2 linked regions of the Stegostoma tigrinum genome follow. The protein of the gene in region 1 purifies or fractionates together with the protein of each later gene. This does not show direct contact. Links are inferred from orthologs where the notes say so. Each region holds a gene or a part of one and is shown in the gene's direction. Other genes may lie near its edges.

Evidence for each region.
Region 2: the proteins of jazf1b (region 1) and nuclear receptor subfamily 2 group C member 2-like purify together in Homo sapiens (affinity purification with mass spectrometry; 4 studies listed by BioGRID and IntAct, with this or other methods). This does not show direct contact. The link is inferred for Stegostoma tigrinum from reciprocal best matches to the Homo sapiens genes JAZF1 and NR2C2.

The regions. Positions count from the first base shown.
Region 1 is NC_081355.1:58,587,629-58,598,766, reverse strand, and holds the start of jazf1b (juxtaposed with another zinc finger protein 1b), read left to right. Parts: upstream 1-5,970; 5' UTR 5,971-5,993; coding exon 5,994-6,108; intron 6,109-11,138. UniProt on the Homo sapiens protein: Acts as a transcriptional corepressor of orphan nuclear receptor NR2C2. Inhibits expression of the gluconeogenesis enzyme PCK2 through inhibition of NR2C2 activity.
Region 2 is NC_081364.1:68,469,471-68,480,039, forward strand, and holds the start of nuclear receptor subfamily 2 group C member 2-like, read left to right. Parts: upstream 1-5,089; 5' UTR 5,090-5,242; intron 5,243-10,569. UniProt on the Homo sapiens protein: Orphan nuclear receptor that can act as a repressor or activator of transcription.

The DNA.
Region 1 (11,138 bases):
AATGTGGTTGACTCTTAACTGCCCTCTGGACAATTAGGGATGGGCAATAAATGCTGCCTAGCCATTGACACCCTCATCCTATGAATAAATGAAGAAATAAATCTTCCCTCAATCACTTTCACCCACTCCAGCCCATGTCACCATTAACCATGCATACCATTTGCCCTCCTTACCCAACATTTCAGGCTGCCTCCCCACTGGGTTTGGCAGTAATGGTGTTATCCATTTTCATCTTCCATAATACCTACGTTCCTCTCATTACATGAGGAAATAGCCGACAAAAGAGTAGAAAGAATCAAGATGAGTGTTCATCACTTACAAAGACAGTATCCTGACTCTAGCTAGGCCTGAACTGGTATCCATGATGTAGAGATGCCAATGTTGGTCTGGGGTGTGCAAGGTCAGAAATCACATGAAACCATGTTATAGTCCAACAGGTTTATTTGAAAACACAAGCTTTCAAAGCCTCACTCCTTCTTGAGGTGTCAGAAAGAGTGAGGCTCCGAAAGCTTGTGTTTTCAAATAAACCTGTTAGACTATAACTGTGTTGTATGATTTCTGACCTTGAACTGGTATCAGAGGCTGCTATTAACCTGTAGTGCTAGGATCCACGGAAGGAAGGCTATACCTCCTTGACTTGACTGAGGCCTGCTGACAACTATGACAAGCTTCCTGGCCTTGTATCTATGATAAATGACCATGTATCTATGTTGCACGACAGCAGTAATATGAGTTCTCGTATTTCTGGTTGAGAGGGCACAGTGCAAAAAGGCAAAGTAACACAATGCGAGATTGCTGTAAGCATCCAGGCAGATGTATAGTGAGTGAGTGCTGTGACAGTGAAGAACCCAGAGATGTGACTTGGTCCAATCCACAACTTGGGTCCATGTCCAATCTTTCTCCAAAACGACAATTTTTCTGCTCCTTTAACGCTGCCTGGCCTGATGTGCCCCTTCAACTCTACTCTGTATTATCTATTTCTCCATAATTCATGTGTCTTATCCCTGAAACCATTCCCATAAACTTGTTCTGCAGTCTCTCTGATGCATTCACATCTTTCCTATAGAGTAGCACCCAAACCATTGTAGTGCCACAATGATCCAGTTGAGGTTGAAACAGGGTCTTATATAAGTTCATTATTACCTCCCTGCTTTTGTACTCTATGTCCCCATTTATGAAGTATAGAATACTGCATGCTTTATCAATAGCTCTTTCTCCTTTAATTACTTACATACATATACACTCAGTCCGCTGCTTCTGCACAGCCTTTAGAATAGCATCCTTTATTTCATATTGTTTCTCCATGTACTTTGTACCAAACTGCATCAGCTCACATTTCTCAACATTGAACTTCATCTGTGAATTCCACCAATGTGTAAAGGTCCCTTTTGAAGTTTGACATTGTCCTTCTCACAGTTTACAATTGTCCCAAGTTTTGTGTTGTCCATAATTTTTGAAGTTGCCCCTGTACACCATGATCTAGATCAGGAAAAGTAAATGTCCCAGTACCAACTACTAGGGAACTCAAGTACAACATTTTTTCAACATGAAAAATAGCCATTAATCAAAACTATGTTTAAATCCTTTGGCTGATTTAGTATCTATGTTGCTATTGTCCATATTATTCTATAACAAAAACATTTCTCATAAGTCTATTATGGCACTGGCACTATTGATCATCTTTTGGAAATCCATGTATACCAAACCAAGTCTTGGTCTTGTCAACTCTATTATTGCTTCAAAAAACTCAAGCAAGTGGGTTAGACACAATTTACCCTCAACAACTTCATGGTGACTCTTCCAAATCAATCTACATTTTCCACATAACTATTAATTCTATCCCAAATAATTGTGTTTAGAAGTTTCCCCTCCACTGAGGTTAAATTGGCTGAATTGTAATTGCCAAAGTGAACTTTACAGGTGTTTTTGACCAGGGAGTAATGTATGTGATTCTCTGATGCTCTGGCAGCACTCCTGAGTCCAGGAAGATTGAAAGTTAATTGCCAGTGCTTCTGCAAAATCCATTCTTATTTCCTTAAATATTCTTGAATGCATTTCATCAGGTCAAGCTGCCTTATCAACTTTAAATACAGTTTATCTAATACCTTCACCTGATCAATTTTAAACCCTTTCAGTGACTGAGTTTCTTCTCCCATTGCGGCCTGGGCAGCATCTGCCTCACAGGTAAGAAAGTGGTTTAACATTTCAGTCATGCCTCTTGCCTCTCGATGTAAATGAAGTTGTGAATGGTGCTGAGCATTGTTCAATCGTCAGCAAACGTCCTCATTTCTGACCATGTGACGGAGGGAAGCTCGTTGATGAAGTAGCTGAAGATGGTTCGGTATAGGACACTACTCTGAGGAACTCCTGTAAAGATGTCCTGGAGCTGAAATGACTGACCTCCAACAACCACAACCATCTTCTCATATGCCAGATATAACTCCAAATAATGGAGAGTTTTCCCCCTGATTTCCATCAACTTCAGTCTTGTTGTAGTTCCTTGATGCCAAACTTGGTGAAGTGCAGCCGTGATGCGAAGGGTTGTCACTCTCACCACGTCTATGGAATTCAGCTCTTCTGTTCAGGTTTGAACCAAAGCTGTAATGAGGTCAGGAGCTGAGTGCATTCTTTTATGCAAGTGTCATGTTGACATTTTTGCAATTAAAACATTTGTATTAGCTAAATGAAAAGAATCACTTATTACCTCATTACATGTCAACTATGAAGAACAGTCTGAAGCTCAGGTGACAGATTTAAACTGAAAAGGATACCGAATTAGAATTTCTTCAAGGAAGGAGGTCTGTACACTGTGATGGGTTCATAATTGCGGTCTTAATTGATGTAGCATGAGCTGTGGTGCAAGGAATTCGGTATAGGAAGTCATGTACTTAAATGATTATTTTCTGTATAAAAGGTGCTACAGGTTTTCCTGGCATGCAGCTTGATGGACTCAGCATCAGTGGGACTTTTGGATGGTCCCCGTCCTCTGGGGAAGATGAGAAATCTTTTCTTTATTTATTCATTCGTGGGATATGGGTGTTACTGACTGGTCAAAATTTATTGCCAGCCCCTTGCAGCCTTTAAGAAGGTGGTGCTAAGCTGCCTTCTTGAACCACTACAGCCATATGCTGCAGGTAGACCCATGATGCTATTAGGGAGGGAATTCCAGAATTTGTATCCAGCAACAGTGAAAGAACTGCAATACATTTCCAAGTCAGGACAGTGAGTGGTTTACAGGGGAGCTTGCAGATGGTCGCGTTCCTATGCATCTGCTGCCCTTGACCTTCTAGCAAGAAGCACTTATGGGTTTGGACGGTGCTGCCTAAGGATCTTTGGGGAATTTCTGCAGTGCCACTTGTAGATAGTTCACACTGCAGCTACTAAGTGTAAGTGATGGATGGTACGGATGCTTGTAGATATTGTGCCCATCAAGCAGACTACTTTGTACTTGATGATGGCAAGCTTGAGTGATGGTGGAGCTGCAGTCATCCAGGCAAGTGGGAATATTTCATCGTACTCCTGATTTGCCCTGTCTTCCTGATGGTGGATAGGCTCTGGGGAGTCAGGAGGTCAGTTACTCATTCTGGTATTCCTAGCTTCTGACCCCCTGTAGTAGCCACTGTATGGTAAGTCCAGTTAAGTTTCTGGTCAGTGGTAATGCTTGGATGTTGATAGTGAGGGATTCAGTAATGAAAACACCATTGAATGTCAACTGAATTGAAATGAATTAGCTTTATTGTCTCATGTTCTCACATTAGTACAATGAAAAGTTTACAAGTTGCCACTTTAGGTGCCATCTTAGGTAGAAAGATACCTATGTACAGATTCTTGGGTAAAAATTATTAAGGAAAGAAAAGGGAAATAAAAAGTCCAGCTTTACAGCCTAGCAAAAGCATAAAATCATTGTAATAAATTTGGAAAAAAAGATAAACATTCAAAATAACAATCCTTCCATAATAATACAATAAGAGAAAAATATAAAAAATTAGAATTTAAGACAAGGTTCACTTAGTCCATCTTATGTTTCTGGGCTCGAGGATCCGAACCCCCGTTGTAATCCCAAGCTGGACACACCATGATGCTGAAGAAGATGCTGAAGAAAATGCTGCTTAGTGTCTCAAGCTGACTGAAGCTGCTACAAGGAGAGCCAGACCAACAATGACGAAAACAGCAACCTAAGCAGCTGAAAAGAGTCCCAGGCTACCGCCAAAGTTGCTTAAAGGAATCCCAGTGGCAGTTGTTAGATTATCTCTTACTGGAAGTGATTATTGCCTGGCATTTCTGTACTGCGAATGTTGCTTACCACTTGCCTCCTTTTCCTGTTGGTTAGAATGCACTGCACTATAACTATATCCAAGATGCTTGAAGTGCTGTATTAAAAGTTATCTCCAGACCAATCAAGGCAACAGGATCACATTTTCAGCAAGCCAATGGCCTACTGATTAGTTGTTCTGGATGTCAAAAGACTATGGCTGTATCTGTTGTGATCTTGTGTTTTGGTTCCGCACTGACATTCCCAGCCATTTTTTCAAAGGATACCTCATTGTTACCCAGGAGTCATCCAGAGAGGCTGACTGGTTCTACCTAACTATGATTGCACACGAAAATGAAATGCCGGAGAAACTCAACAGGTTTGGCAGCAAAGTTAATGTTTTGAGTCCATTATGGCTCACCTTACTATGACTTGTATCTGGGAACTATGCACGCATGCAAGGTTCCTTTACGGTGGTATACTAACTGCATATGGAAGTAGCGGAATTTCTTTAAATCTAGGAACACATTGCTGATGTGACAGTGCCTTAACTGCTACATGGGTACAGCCTATCGTATTGACTTGAAGGAATCCGGCCTTGGAAATGAAATTATACCTGCTTTTAAAGAGGCAGTTTGGTTCAATGTTTTCAACTGATGTCCATTGGATAAATCAAAATGATCACAAACGTCATTATGATGATTTTGACTTTCAACAAACACATTGCTTTGGTGGAAATTACATTTTTTGTTCCGTTATTAGTTCTCCTGTGGATGCATTTGGATCGTTTAAAAAGGTATTTGTGAAGAAATCAGTCAAGTTAACATTTCAGAGTTGGAGCCTTCATCTTTTCATAAACTGCAGGGTTCGTACTTGCTTTCCATCAAGTCTGTGCTAAGATGGGCTCTTCTCAGACAGAATATCTAATAGAAAATGGTCACAAATCTCTTTGTCAGGTGAATTCTGCAACGATAAAAAGTGTAAAATATTGGGAAAGAATATAAGACCGTAATTGTTTTATTCATTTGTGGGATGCGGGCATCGCTGGCTGGACAGCGTTTCTTGCCTATCCCTAGTTGCCCTTGAGAAGGTGGTGGTGAGCTGCTTTTTGAATCGCTGCAGTCCTCCTGCTGTGGGTCAACCCACAATACCTATTAAGGAGGGAATTCCCAGATTTTGACTCAGCAACAGTGAAGGAACGGCAATATATTTCCAAGTCAGAATAGTGAGTGACTTGAAGAGGAACTTGGACGTGACAGTGTTCCCATATATCTGCTGCCCTTGTCCTTCTAGATGGAAGTGGTGCTGTCTGAGGATCTTGGGTGAATTTTTGCAGTATATCTTGTAGCTAGTACACACAATCGCAATTTTGGTTTATGCTTATGGTTTTGCCAACGAGCAAAGTCTCAGAAAAAAATGGAAATTCCGGAGGATTTGCCCAACTTTTACATCTTTGATTTCTGTTTTGAGACGAGTGAATGAAATTTGCACATTACTTCTTCTTGTATTGTGTATTTTCATGAAATTAATGATTTAACTTGGGAGTAAAATAAAACGCTTTTTAAAGTTAACGCCGATGCAAGTGGAGTTAGCGGTCTGGTTTGTGAAAGGTGCTGTAGGTGAGTCTGTGTCTCCCACCACATCCCCCACCCAGCCCTCCCCTCTCTCACTCCGTGTCCCCGCCCCTGGCCCGATCCCTCCCTCCCTCCCTCCCTCCTGCTGCCTGGACCCATGTAGCACCATGACAGGGATCGCCGCCGCCTCCTTCTTCTCCAATACCTGCCGCTTCGGGGGATGCGGGCTGCAGTTCCCGACCCTGGGGGAGCTCATCGAGCACATCGAAGACAACCACATAGGTAGGCGGGCTGGGAAGAGGGCAGGCGGGCGGCCGGCCAGGCGGATGGGGGCAGCGCCCCGCTGGCAGCAGGGGCTCGCGTGGAGCCGGCCCCGGCCCGCCCCTCGGTCCTGGGGGAGAGAGATTTGGGAGGCACTGCCACCGGGGTTCTGCTCCCCACAATCCCCCGCCCCCGACACACACCTTTCCCCTTCCCACCGGGGAGCATGGCTGCCCGATCAGGATCCGCGGGGGCTCCCGCCCACAGGCCGCGTCCGAGGCAGATCCGCACACGACCACACCCCCAGCACGATTCTCCTCTCTCCACTCCCCCGACTCCGGGCGGCCGGCCAGCCAGCCGGCCATTCGCTCGCTCGTCCGCGGCCTTTGGTCCCAGCTCCCGGGAGGGGGGAGGGGAGAGGGCCCCGTGGTGTCACTTTGAAGCCTGGGCCGAGCGAGGTCACTTCACTGCTGTCATGGCAACGGCTGCAGGATCCGGGCCTATAGCCAGAAGCCGCTATCCGGGCGGGGCTTGGGGAAGGGGGTAGCAGTGTGAGTAGGGTGTGGCTGTGTACAGGGAGGGTGGGGGAGGGGTGTGAGTGGGTGCGGTTAGGGGGCCGGGAAGGGTGGTGGAGAGGGAGGAAGGATGTGCAGTGGGGAGGGGGCGAAGGATGTGCAGTGGGGAGGGGGCGAAGGGTGTGAAGTGGTGTGGGTGTGAAGTAGGGGGAAGGAGTGAAGTGGAGCTGTGTATAGTAGGGATTGGGGGAGGAGGGAGTGTACTAGGGGGCAGGTGTGTGAGTAGTGGAGGGTTCTGACTGGGAGGGAGGGTTCTGATGGGGGGGGGAGAAAGGGGGAGGGTGCGGGTAGGCGGGGATGTAGCGGGTGCGGGGGGGGAGAGGGGGAGGGAAGGCGGGGGGGGGAAGAGAGGGGAAGGGAAGGCGGGGGGGGGAGAGAGGGGGAGGGAAGGCGGGGGGGGGGAGAGAGGGGGAGGGAAGGCGGGGGGGGGGAGAGAGGGGGAGGGAAGGCGGGGGGGGGGAGAGAGGGGGAGGGAAGGCGGGGGGGGGGAGAGAGGGGGAGGGAAGGCGGGGGGGGGGAGAGAGGGGGAGGGAAGGCGGGGGGGGGGAGAGAGGGGGAGGGAAGGCGGGGGGGGGGAGAGAGGGGGAGGGAAGGCGGGGGGGAGAGAGGGGGAGGGAAGGCGGGGAGGGAAGGCGGGGGGGGAGAGGGGGAGGGAAGGCGGGGGGGGGAGAGAGGGGGTCGGGGGGGAGAGAGGGGGGGGGGAGAGAGGGGGGGGGAAGGCGGGGGGGGGAGAGAGGGGGTGGGGGGGGAGAGAGGGGGAGGGAAGGCGGGGGGGGAGGGAAGGCGGGGGGGGAGAGAGGGGGAGGGAAGGCGGGGGGGGGAGAGAGGGGGAGGGAAGGCGGCGGGGGGGAGAGAGGGGGAGGGAAGGCGGGGGGGAGAGAGGGGGAGGGAAGGCGGGGGGGAGAGAGGGGGAGGGAAGGCGGGGAGGGAAGGCGGGGGGGGAGAGGGGGAGGGAAGGCGGGGGGTGGGGAGAGAGGGGGAGGGAAGGCGGGGGGGGAGAGAGAGGGGGAGGGAAGGCGGGGGGGGAGAGAGAGGGGGAGGGAAGGCGGGGGGGAGAGAGGGGGAGGGAAGGCGGGGAGGGAAGGCGGGGGGGGAGAGGGGGAGGGAAGGCGGGGGGTGGGGAGAGAGGGGGAGGGAAGGCGGGGGGGGAGAGAGAGGGGGAGGGAAGGCGGGGGGGGGAGAGAGGGGGAGGGAAGGCGGGGGGGGGAGAGAGGGGGGGGAAGGCAGGGGGGGGAAGGCGGGGGGGGGAGGGAAGGCGGGGGGGGAGAGAGGGGGAGGGAAGGCGGGGAGGGAAGGCGGGGGGGGGAGAGGGGGAGGGAAGGCGGGGGGGGAGAGAGGGGGAGGGAAGGCGGGGGGGGGAGAGAGGGGGAGGGAAGGCGGGGGGGGGAGAGAGGGGGGGAAGGCAGGGGGGGGAAGGCGGGGGGGGAGAGGGGGGGGGAAGGCGGGGGAGGGAAGGCGGGGGGGGGAGAGGGGGGGGGAAGGCGGGGGAGGGAAGGCGGGGGGGGGGAGGGGGGGGGGGAAGGCGGGGGAGGGAAGGCGGGGGGGGGGAGGGGGGGGGGAAGGCGGGGGAGGGAAGGCGGGGGGGGAGAGAGGGGGAGGGAAGGCGGGGGGGGAGAGAGGGGGAGGGAAGGCGGGGGGGGAGGGAAGGCGGGGGGGGGAGAGAGGGGGAGGGAAGGCGGGGGGGGGAGAGGGGGAGGGAAGGCGGGGGGGGGAGGGGGAGAGAGGGGGAGGGAAGGCGGGGGGGGGAGAGAGGGGGAGGGAAGGCGGCGGGGGGGAGAGAGGGGGAGGGAAGGCGGGGGGGGAGAGAGGGGGAGGGAAGGCGGGGGGGGGAGGGGGAGAGAGGGGGAGGGAAGGCGGGGGGGGAGAGAGGGGGAGGGAAGGCGGGGGGGGGAGAGAGGGGAGGGAAGGCGGGGGGGGGAGAGAGGGGGAGGGAAGGCGGGGGGGGGAGAGAGGGGAGGGAAGGCGGGGGGGGGGAGAGAGGGGGAGGGAAGGCGGGGGGGGGAGAGAGGGGGAGGGAAGGCGGGGGGGGGAGAGAGGGGGAGGGAAGGCGGGGGGGGGAGAGAGGGGGAGGGAAGGCGGGGGGGGGAGAGAGGGGGAGGGAAGGCGGGGGGGAGGGGGGAGAGGGAAGGCGGGGGGGAGAGGGGGAGGGAAGGCGGGGGGGAGGGGGGAGAGGGAAGGCGGGGGGGAGAGGGGGAGGGAAGGCGGGGGGGGAGGGGGGAGCGAAGGCGGGGGGGGGAGAGGGGGAGGGAAGGCGGGGGGGGGAGAGAGGGGGAGGGAAGGCGGGGGGGGGAGAGAGGGGGAGGGAAGGCGGGGGGGGGAGAGAGGGGGAGGGAAGGCGGGGGGGGGGGAGGGAAGGCGGGGGGGGGGAGGGAAGGCGGGGGGGGAGAGAGGGGGAGGGAAGGCGGGGGGGGGCGAGGGAAGGCGGGGGGGGGAGGGAAGGCGGGGGGGGAGAGAGGGGGAGGGAAGGCGGGGGGGGGAGAGGGAAGGCGGGGGGGGGAGAGGGAAGGCGGGGGGGAGAGGGGGAGGGAAGGCGGGGGGGGAGAGGGGGAGCGAAGGCGGGGGGGGGAGAGGGGGAGGGAAGGCGGGGGGGGAGAGAGGGGGAGGGAAGGCGGGGGGGGGAGGGAAGGCGGGGGGGGAGAGAGGGGGAGGGAAGGCGGGGAGGGAAGGCGGGGAGGGAAGGCGGGGAGGGGAGAGGGGGAGGGAAGGCGGGGGGGGAGAGAGGGGGAGGGAAGGCGGGGGGGGGAGGGAAGGCGGGGGGGGAGAGAGGGGGAGGGAAGGCGGGGAGGGAAGGCGGGGAGGGAAGGCGGGGAGGGGAGAGGGGGAGGGAAGGCGGGGGGGGGGAGAGGGGGAGGGAAGGCGGGGAGGGAAGGCGGGGGGGGGGGGGAGAGGGGGAGGGAAGGCGGGGGGGAGAGGGGGAGGGAAGGCGGGGGGGGGGAGGGGGAGAGAGGGGGAGGGAAGGCGGGGGGGGGAGAGAGGGGGAGGGAAGGCGGGGGGGGGAGAGAGGGGGAGGGAAGGCGGGGGGGAGAGGGGGAGGGAAGGCGGGGGGGGGAGAGAGGGGGAGGGAAGGCGGGGGGGAGAGGGGGAGGGAAGGCGGGGGGGGGAGGGGGAGAGAGGGGGAGGGAAGGCGGGGGGGGGAGAGAGTGGGAGGGAAGGCGGGGAGAGGGGGAGGGAAGGCGGTGGGGGGAGAGGGGGAGGGAAGGCGGGGGGGGAGGGAAGGCGGGGTGGGGAGGGAAGGCGGGGGAGGGAAGGCGGGGGGGGGGGAGAGGGGGAGGGAAGGCGGGGGGGGAGAGGGGGAGGGAAGGCGGGGGGGGAGAGGGGGAGGGAAGGCGGGGGGGGGAGAGAGGGGGAGGGAAGGCGGGGGAGGGAAGGCGGGGGGGGGAGAGGGGGGGGAAGGCGGGGGGGGAGAGGGGGGGGAAGGCGGGGGGGGGGAGAGAGGGGGGGGGAGGGGGGGGGAGAGAGGGGGGGGAGGGGGGGGAGAGAGGGGGGGGGAAGGCGGGGGGGGAGAGGGGGGGGGAGGGGGGGGAGAGAGGGGGGGGGAGGGGGGGGAGAGAGGGGGGGGGAGGGGGGGGAGAGAGGGGGGGGGAAGGCGGGGGGGGGAGAGAGGGGGTGGGGGGGGAGAGAGGGGGAGGGAAGGCGGGGGGGGAGAGAGGGGGAGGGAAGGCGGGGGAGGGAAGGCGGGGGGGGAGAGGGGGAGGGGGAGGGAAGGCGGGGGGGGAGGGAAGGCGGGGGGGGGAGGGAAGGCGGGGGGGGGAGGGAAGGCGGGGGAGGGAAGGCGGGGGGGGGGAGAGGGGGAGGGAAGGCGGGGGGGGAGGGGGAGAGAGGGGGAGGGAAGGCGGGGGGGGGGAGAGAGGGGGAGGGAAGGCGGGGAGGGAAGGCGGGGGGGGGAGAGAGGGGGAGGGAAGGCGGGGAGAGGGGGAGGGAAGGCGGGGGGGGAGAGGGGGAGGGAAGGCGGTGGGGGGGGAGGGAAGGCGGTGGGGGGGGAGAGGGAAGGCGGGGGGGGAGAGGGAAGGCGGTGGGGGGGGAGGGAAGGCGGGGGGGGGAGAGGGAAGGCGGGGGGGGGGGAGAGGGAAGGCGGGGGGGGGAGAGGGAAGGCGGGGGGGGGAGAGGGAAGGCGGGGGGGGGAGAGGGAAGGCGGGGGGGAGAGGGGGAGGGAAGGCGGGGAGGGAAGGCGGGGGGGAGAGGGGGAGGGAAGGCGGGGAGGGAAGGCGGGGGGGGGAGAGAGGGGGAGGGAAGGCGGGGAGGGAAGGCGGGGGGGGGAGAGAGGGGGAGGGAAGGCGGGGAGAGGGGGAGGGAAGGCGGGGGGGGAGAGGGGGAGGGAAGGCGGTGGGGGGGGAGGGAAGGCGGGGGGGGGAGAGGGAAGGCGGGGGGGGAGAGGGAAGGCGGGGGGGGAGAGGGAAGGCGGTGGGGGGGGAGGGAAGGCGGGGGGGGGAGAGGGAAGGCGGGGGGGGGGAGAGGGAAGGCGGGGGGGGGAGAGGG
Region 2 (10,569 bases), on another chromosome or scaffold:
CTCCTCCCACCTCAAACCGCACCTCCATTTCCCACCTACTAACCTCATCCCACCTCCTTGACCTATCCCCTCCCCACCTCACCACCTATACTCTCCTCTCCACCTATCTTCTCCTCTATCCATTTTCGGTCCCCCTCCCCCTCTCTCCCCATTTATTCCAGAACCCTCTCCCCATCCCACTCTCTGATGAAGGGTCCAGGCCCGAAACGTCAGCTTTTGTGCTCCTCAGTTGCTGCTTGGCCTGCTGTGTTCATCCAGCTTCACACTTTGTTATATTGGATTCTCCAGCATCTGCAGTTCCCATTATCTCTGATCACAAATGTAATTTCTTCTTTATCACACCTGAAACTCTAAAACCTGGGACAATGAGCTGCCAGTCCTGCCTTTTTCTCAGCTGAATTTCTCCAATGGCTACAACATCGTAGTTCCATAGACTAATTCAGGATCTGAGCTCACCTGCCTCACCTGTTATACTCCTTGCATTAAAATCAAATATACTTCAGATCACCAGTCCTGCCATGTTTGTTAACCCTGAATTGTTTGATCGTCTTATTGGAATTACTTGACTTAACCTCTCCCTTCTACTGTGGTTTCCACCGCTTCCCCCAAACACTATCACTGACAATTCTTCTGGAGTGGTACGAGCAGACCTCCCTGCTCCTGGGAGGATATTGGCATCCCTCCCCTCCAGTTTAGGTGCAACTATTCTCCTCACACAAGTGCCCCCGACGTCGGAAGGGATCAAAATGATGCCAACATCTGAAGCCCTCCCTCCTACACCAGCTCTCTAGCCACACATTCATTTGATTTGATTTGATTTATTATTGTCATATGTATCTAAGTACAGTGAGAAGTTTTGTTTTGCGAGCAGTACAGGCAGATCCTAACAAACAAGGAAGTACAGATCTTAGGGTTCTTAGAGCGAGGCATACAAGGTGATGGTTGCAGAGGATGTGCACAAAGCAAGATCAACATGATTTGAAATTAGAGAGGTCCATTCAGAAGTCTAATAACAGCAGGGAAGATGTTCTTGAACCTGTTGGTGTGTATTTTCAAGTACCTGTATCTTCAATTAAAACTTACCAACTAATTAAAGAATTAACAGTATCTTAGGTTTGTTTAATACATTCTCATCAATTTGTGAGCCTTTGATCTTTTACTAATAAATTCTGTGTCTGATACTACCTCTCTCACTAACACCTGAAGGAGTAAGGCTTCGAAAGCTTGGGTTTTCCAGTAAACCTATTGGACTGTAACCAGTTGTCATTTGATTTCTGACCCTCTCCACCCCAATCTAACACCGGCACCTCCACATCATGGCTACTATTGACACCACCAACTGCTGGTTCAAAGTGGAGTGGATCTCGAGGAAGATTGTGCATATAGGCGCAGACATCAAGTTTCTACAGAAATGTAAGAAAGCACAAAAGGTCCTGACCTACAACACTGATGATGTTGAGAGATTTTGCTGTTGCACCTCTTTCAAAATCCTCAATCATCTTGTACACCAACTCTATAGCAAGCACCGTGGTCGTGAAATCAAGCTTGAAACTATATTCTCAGCTTGCACTTAAGATACAGCAGCACAGGTACAAGACACTGCCAAACATACGAGCCAATGGAACTACGCCAGCTTCATACACACCAAGAACAAGTTGCTGGAGAACCTTGACATCACCACCAGCAATAACCAAGTCTGCCCTGGTACCACCACAGGGAAAAACCATTGTCAACTTATCTGACCATCCCCTCTAAGCAGATGAGATTGAAATTCTCAGCTGAGGACTGAATTTCTGCCCCACCACCAAGATGAACTCCAGTGGTCTTGCGGCAGACACAGATGAATTTGTCAGAGGAATTCTTCTGAGATATCAGCAGTGATCCCAATTAGACAACTAATGAACCAAATCAATTGACAGAGATAGCCATGAGGGATTGGGCAAAGAAAGAGTCAAATTAGACCCCTCCAGAGGGCCGTTGCCCAGGGTTTGATGGTTATGCTTAAGGCTTCACAGAACGCACGAATGCCAGCTTCATCAGCCACACTCACAAGGTAGTGCAAAACATCACCCAGACACAGTGCAATGCCATCCAGGCTCTCAAGACCAATCACAACATTGCCATCAAACCAGCAGACAAAGGAAGATCCATTGTCGTACAGAATAGAACGCACTACTACAAGGAAGTGTACCGACAGCTGATCAATCAGGTACACTACAGACAACAACCTGTTGATCTGACCAAAGAACATACCTCTCAACTGAATAGACTGGTCAAGGCTTTTTATCCAGTGCTTCAGATGACCCTACACATTCTCATCCTGCGTACTTCACATGTAGGGGACTTCTACTACCTTCCAAAGATACGCAGCGCCTACACACCTGGACGTCCCATTACATCAGGCAATGGGACCCTGTGTGAGAACCTTTCTGGCTGTGTTGAGGGCATCATGAAACACATTGTACAAGAAATGCCCAGCTTCTGTTGCAACACTACAAGTTTCTTACAGAAAGTCAGCACCCATGGACCATTCGAACCAGGAACACTCCTGGTCCCAATGGTCATTTTGGCACTCTATACCAGCATCCCTCACAAAAATGGCATCACCACAGCAGCCTCAGTACTCAATACCAACAACTGCCAACTTCCAGATGCCCTACACCTCATTTGCTTCATCCTCGACCATAATATCTTCATCTTTGACAACCAGTTCTTCATCCAGACACATGGAACAGCCATAGGGACCAGATTTGCGCCCCAGTATGCCAACATTCTCATGCACAGGTTTGAACAAGACTTCTCTGCTGTACAGAACCTCCGACCAACACTATACACATACACTGATACATTGACAACATTTTCTTTCTTTGGACTCATGGTGAGGAATCACTGAAACAACTACATTGTGATACCAACAAGTTTTATCTCAGCATCAGACTTACCACAGACTACTCTTTAGAATCAGTGTCATTCTGGGACACACCCATCTCCATCAAGGATGGACACCCTCGTACCTCACTCTCTCGCAAGCTCACAGATAACCTCATGATGCCGCACTTCTCTAGCTTCCACTCCAAATATATTCAAACAGCCATCCCCGATTGACTAACCCTCCACGTACGCGGGATCTGTTTGGATGAGAGGAATGAGACAGACACCTGATGGTGTTGAAGGATGCCCTCATAGGAACAGGATATGATGCTCAACTCATCGGTCGCCAGTTCCAACATGCCACAGCAAAAAACCATAATGACCTTCTCAGAAGACAGATACGGGATAAACCTGATAGGGTGTCCTTCATTGTCTAGTACTTCTCGGGAGTGTAGAAACTACGCCATGTTCTTCACAACCATCAACACAACATCAATGACTATGAGTACCTTGCCAAGATCTTTCCCATGCCTCCACTTCTCACCTTCAAACAAATGCTGAACCTTAAGCAAACTATCCAGCCTTCAGGGCAACATCGAACACAACATCATGTAACCTTGTAATGGCAACCTCTGCAACACATATTACAGAACAATGAACCAGCTTGGTGAGCCAAACAACCACAACATCCACAACCCGAGCTACACATCTACTCTAAAACCATAGAGACACATCGCATCTTAGACATGGACACTACCACCACATGTGGGAACACCACCCACCGTGTGCATGGCGATACTCATGTGACTCAGCCAATGTTGTCTATCTTGTATGCTGCAGGCAAGGATGCTTCAAGGCATGGTATATTGGAGAAATCATGCAGACGCTACAAGAACAAATGAATGGACACCATGCAACAATCGCCAGACACAGATGCTTCCTCCCAATGGGGGAACACTTCACTGGTCAAGGACATTTGGCCTCGGATCTTTGGGTAAACATCCCTCAAGGCAGACTTTGGGATACACAACAACACAGAGTCACCGAGCAGAGGCTGATAGCGAAGTTTGGTTTCCATGGGGACATCCTCACCTGAGATCTTGGATTCATGTCGCGCTACAGGTGACCCCACCACACTATACACTCTCACACATGTTCATGCACTTACACAAACACTCACACACAGACACACACTCACACAGATCCTCTCATACACACAGTGTCTCTCTCACACACGCGCACGCGCATATGCGCATGCATGCACACTATCACATAGATCATCTCTCATGCACACACCGTCTCTCACACACACACACACACACACACACACACACACACACACACGTGAGGGTGTAGGTGTTTGCAGATACATTCTTTTTTTCAAAAAGCATGCAACTAAAAGACAGTCAATGTGGCATTATATAAATTGCTGCTTTAGAAATAAAACCAATCTAACTCCAAACCAAAACACAAACAGATTCTAAACAAGGCGCCACACATTACACGCATTGTCTGACCTAAAATATCACCTCTTTACGCTGATAAGATCTTTAGTTCTCTCAGGACAGTGACTTGAAAGGAATTTGGGGATTTACATATACATATTAATCAGTTAAAACCTCTTAACTGATTAAAGATGTAACAGCATCTTAGGTTTGTTTAATACATCCTCATCAACGGTGTGAGCTTTTGATCTTTTACTTATAAAGTCTGTGTCTGATACTACATCTCTCACTAACACCTGAAGAAGGACTATAACCTGGTGTGGTGTGTTTTCTGACCTTGTATACCTCAGTCCTTGAATACCTTGTACACACCAGTACCTACCTTATCCGGGCTTCCCTGATGACATTAAATCAAACTGATCCACAATGATGTATTTTGCCCAGAAACGGAAATTTTAATTTCCCGGCAATGTCATTTTCTGTCCCTTACCTTCGGAAAACGGGAAACCATCTGTGCAAAGTGAGCAGTATTTTGAAAAGGGAGTCGAAACGTTTTACAGGAATGTCACCACCGAGTAGCGGGCAAGGTTGGTCAGCACCGCAGAGGTTGGACAGCGATCTCCGGAAACAGCCGAACGAAGGAGAGCGGGCGCCGCTCCGGAAATAGCCGAGACTTGAAGCAAAGTGCAAATTATCGCCGCCGAGCGCACGTGGGACGACCGTACCTTGGCGGCCAATGAGAGGGCGTGATTGTGGCGGACGGTGCGCGCATGCGTCCCGGCTGGGCTTCCCTCTCCCCCCACCACGCAGAATGAATCCCTAATACGCGCATCAGAGGGAAAAAAACTAGCCAAGGTCATGAACTATGACCTCTGAAGGAAAGAACGTGGTACTAAAAGCAACGAAATAAGGGTTTTTTTAAACAGGTAAGCGCTGTTGTACGATGGCTCACTTTAGCTGCCGTGGTGTCGATTTAAACCTTCGTTGGGGGGGGGTGAGGGGAACAACCCGGTTTCATCCTGAGGGAAAGGGCCCAGGGCTTGCGGGGCTCAAGCTCAGCTGCCAGCAGCGGGCAGGCGGGAGACTCACTGCCAAGGCAGCACGGGGGTGAGTGGGGGATCTCGGCGACGACGACTTTGCCGCCGCTGCCCTTCCCTCCCCCAACCCCACAAAAAAATCCGACCTCCAGAACGACAGCAGCAGTGATTGACGACTGGCCTCAGCCAATCAGACCCTCTGGACGGCAGGGGATCAGCCAATCCGCTCAGGCTGTGGGCTCCGTCTGATCGGTGCATTGGCCGCCCTCCTGTGGCGGTGCTCTCGGATGGTATGCTGACTTCTATGTGCGCGTTGGTTTGTTTTACTGAGGTGACAGGATGCAGAACGTTTCACTCTGTTCCGCTCAACTGCCTCATCCCAACACACCTGGTGTAAGGAATCTGCCTTTATATTTTTGTAGCTTTAAAGAACTTGGACAGCAATAAGAAAGGGTGATATGGTGACTCAGTGGTTAGCACTGCTGCCTTGCAGCGCCAGGGACCCAGATTAAATTCCACCCTCGGGCAACTGTCTATGTGGAGTTTGCATATTCTCCCTGTCTCTGTTTTCTCCAAAAGTCCAAAGATGTGCACGTTACATGGATTGGCCATGCTAATTTGCCCATTGTGTCCAGTGATGTGGAGGTGTAGGATGTGCAGTGAGTCTGGGTGGGATGGCGTTTAGAAGGTTGGTTTGGACGTGGCTGAATGGTCTGTTCCCACACTGCAGTTCTTTCATAGAATCCTATTCTTAAAATCAGATTTCCCAGAATTTCACAGCAAATAATTGAATTGTGTTGTGAACTCTGGTTTTTATGGCTGTGGCTTGCTGCAGTGTTCAGATGATCAGGTGCCAAGGAGTTGTACAACAGAAGCTGAGACTGGTTCTCAGCTAACTGAGAAGGTTGGAACTGGATACAAGTTATAGATGCACAGGTACGCGCGTGCGCGCACACACACACACACACACACACACACACACATGTATATAAAGGTACAGATATCTGTGCAGATGTTTATTTCTCTGCAGTAAAAGAAAAACTTCTGAACTGAAAAATCAGAGACATTTTACTAATGAGCCACCACTGTATCAACAACAGACAAGTGCAAATATCCATCGAAGTAGGGGTTCAGGTACATAAATCTTTGAAATGTGCATCACAAGTAGACAGGATGGTTAAAGTGTTGCTCAGACCTTTGAGTCTAGAAGTTGGGATGTCATGTTGACAGGCAGTGGTGAGGCCTCCTCTGGAGTACTGTGTACAGTTCTGGCCACCCTGGTATAGGAAGGATTTTGTTAAACTGGAGAGGAGTTTACCAGGATATTGCCAGGAATGGAGGAAACATGATATAAAAATAGAGTGGAAAGGCTGGGATGTTTTTCACCTGGAGTGTAAGAGGTTGAGGGTTAACTTTATAGAGGTTTATAAAATCATGAATGGCATAGATAAGTTGAATGACAAGGGTGTTTTCCCTGAGGTGGAGTTGAAAACTAGGAGGCATATTTTTAAGGTGAGAAGGAAAAGATTTAAAAAGGACGTGAGAGGCAACATTTTTGGACAGACAGTGGTGTGAGTGGAATGAGCTGTCAGAGAAAATGGAATCAGGTACAGTTACGACATTTAAAAAGCATTTAGATGTTCATGAATAGGAAAGGTTTCGAAGGTGGGATTAGTTTAGTTTGGGAACGTGGCTGGCGTGGACTGGTTTGATTGAAGGGTCTGTTTCCAAACTCTATGACTGTGATTCATTTGTCAAATAAAACATTTAGTTTGTTTCGCAATTACTTTTCTGTTTATGCGAGCAGTTTGGTAACATGTGCTATGTACAATTGTTGATTGAACAGTAGGAAGCATAGGGCAGAATGGAAAATGCTCCAGGCTTGTGCCTTGTAAGTAGTTGTCAGGATGAGAGTTATTTGCTGGAGGATTCCAATTGCAGAACTAATATTTATGTGTCTAGTCTAAATATTAATGCCAAGATGCTGATTGGAGGGAGGGCATGGTTAAAGATGATGATTAGATTCTGCTGGTGGCAAGATGTTTATTACCTGTCACCTGTGTTATGTGAAGCTTTGTTTCTTTCCCAGTTCTGGATATTTTGCAGATCCTGCTGCATTTGGACTGTTTCAGTGTCTGACGAGTCACAAATGGTGCTGAACATTGCATAATCATCAAAAATACTTCCACTTCTGACTCATGATAGTGAGAAGGTCTTGGTAAAGCAACTGAGTGTGTTTGGGCCTGGGATACTAAGCTGAGGAACTCCTGCAGTGATATACTCGAGCTGAGATAACTGGCCTCTAACAACTACAGCCGTCTTCCTTTGTGCTAAGTATTAAGCCCAGCAGCGGAGAGGTTTTCATTAGTTTCCATTTTCTGTAGTCGTGTTTGATGCTACATTGGTCAAATATGACCTTAATGTAGTGTGATGGGGGGATATACAAGTAGGGACCGTGCCACCTGACATGGGAAATGGAGAGAATGGATGAATCAGATAGGGATATGAATTGTGGGTTTGTTGAGGAGTTCGGTGAGAGGAGAGGCTGGAGAATCGGGGGATGAAGGGGAGAGCAGGACATTATTGGGCAGATTGATGTGATAATTGAGGTATTGGAGGCTTTGGGGGAATTTAAATGTGGAAAGATCTCCAGGTCCAGATGAGTTGAATCACAGACTGCTGTGGAGGATGAGAGAGGAAATTACTAGGACCTTGATCCAAATTTACAAATCATCTCTGAACACGAGAGGTGCTAGTGAACTGCAGAACAGCTAATGTGGTTCCATTTTTCAAGAAGAGTAGTAGAAAGAAACCAAGGAATTATAGAGCAGTGAGTCTAAAATTGGTGGGGGAATGTTGGAGGAAATAATGATGGAGGAAATTGATCTCCACTTAGAAAGGCGAGGTTTGATCAAGACATTCAGCATGACTTTTTCATTGGGCGGCTTTGTCATACCTAACAACTCTGGAGTTTTGAGGACTAACTAAGTGTACGGTTGAGGGTAGGGCAGTTGAAGTAGTTTATATGGATTTCAGCAAGGCCTTTTCCAACCCTTCAAAGCAATAAAAGCCAACATTCTATCTGCCTTCTTAATTATTTACTGCACCTGGTTACATACACAAGAACATACAAGTCCCTTCGTGTGGCATTTCTTTGGCATCTCTCCTTTTTAAATATTAATTTTGCTTCTTCCTACCAAAGTGCATGACCTCCTACTTTCCTACATAATATTTCTCCTGCCAAGGCTTTGTCCTCCCACTCAGTCTACCTCCATGCTTTGCAGATTCATTTTGTCAACATCACAACATGCCACATCTTGTATCATCAGTTGACTACATTTATTGGTTCCTAGTTAGGAACTAGCCTTACTACTTCTATTAAGTAACCTTATCAATGTCTTTTGGAAATACAAATATACTACAGCTACTGGTTCCCCTTTATCTATCCTGCTTCTTACTTTCTCAAAGAACTGTAATAAATTTGCCAGGCATGATTTTCCCTTCCCAAAGCCCTGACTTTGCTTAATTTTGTTATATGCTACCAAATGTCCTGTTGTTACATCCTTAGTAATAAGTTTTAACATTTTCCTAATGACAGATGTTAAATTAACAGACCTATAGTTACCTGGTTTTTCTTACCTTCCCTTTTGGAATAAGGGTATTAAATTGACATATTCCCCAAATCTCTGGAACTTTTCCTCTAATCTAAAGACTCAGTTCTGATGGGCAGAAACAAATTTAAGGCTCTCTGCCATCATTTGGTATCTCCCACTGATCTACTCTTCCCTTTGTAAAACTGCCGGGCCGGCCATTCACCCGACTTGTTTCAGAACTGGCTGTGGACATCGTCAATTTTGATGAAGGAAGGAATGCTTTACGAAGGAAACAAGTGGAACCTCACCTTAATCCTGTGAAGTAGCCTGTTCAATGTAAATTACAGTAGGTGCCCAATTATCTGTTTGGGATTAGTGTATCCATTCTTATTATATGAACTTCCATTCATCATAGTTTGGGACCAATTTCAACTTAACATTGAACTACTGACAGAACTACTGACAGAAATACTACGAAAGGGCATGGGGGGTCAGGTTGGGGAGTAGCTGGTTAGAGCAGTTAAAATGTTTTTTTTGACATCACTGAATCAGATACAGAAGAGGCTAAAATATACCATTATCTACACTAGTTCCAATTCCTGCACAAGACCATGAATCTCAAATATTATGACACTTTCAAGTGCTTGTACTTTTTAAAGATGGTCGGGTTCCTTGCCTCACCTACTCTCCCAGGCAGTGCATTCCAAAACTTCACCACCTTCTAGGTGAAGGACCTTTATCCTCAAATCCCCTCTAAACCTCCTGCCTTTCAGTTTACAATCATGTACAGCTATTAGATCTGCCCAACCACCCCCACCCCATCTGCTCTCCTCCAAAAGAACACAAGCCGAGTTATCCAATCTCTTTTTATAGCCGAATACTCCATCCCAGGCAATACCCTGGTGAATCTCCTTTGCACCCTCTCCAGGGCAATCACATCCGTCCTGCAGTGTGGTATCCAGAAATGCACACAATACTCTTGTTATGGCCTAACCAAAGCTCTGTACAGATCCAACATGACTACCTTGCTCTTACATTTATGAGAGAACTGATAAAAGGCGTCTAATATACTTTAACTCCCCTATTAGCCTGTCTACCACATTCAGGGGTCTGTGATCAAGCACCCCAAGAGCTGTGCTTCCTAGTGTCTTGCCACTCATTGACTAGTCCCTTAACTTACTCCTTTTTCCAGAGTGCCTCACATTTATCATATTTAAATTCTATCTACATAATTTTTGAATATCACAAACATAAAAAAAGGACCCAGCACTGGGTGCCTGTGCAATGGCACACCATTGGGCTCCAGTCATACAATCTACCACCACTGTCTCCTATTACTAAACCAATTTTGGATTGAACTTGCCAAGTTACCATGGATCACGTGTTTTTGCTTTCTTTTCTTTGAAGGGTTGGAGTTTAAAATAGGAAAATGCTGTTACAACTGTATAGAGCGTTGGTGAGACCGCACCTGGAGTACTGTGTTTTGATCCTTGAAGAAAGAATATATTGGCAGTGTGAAGTCACTTCAAATCTGATTCATTGGGCTGATTCCTGGAATCTAAGGGTTGACTTATGACCTTATTAAATTCCATGCACATGTATTAGAGTTGAGAGCAAATGACG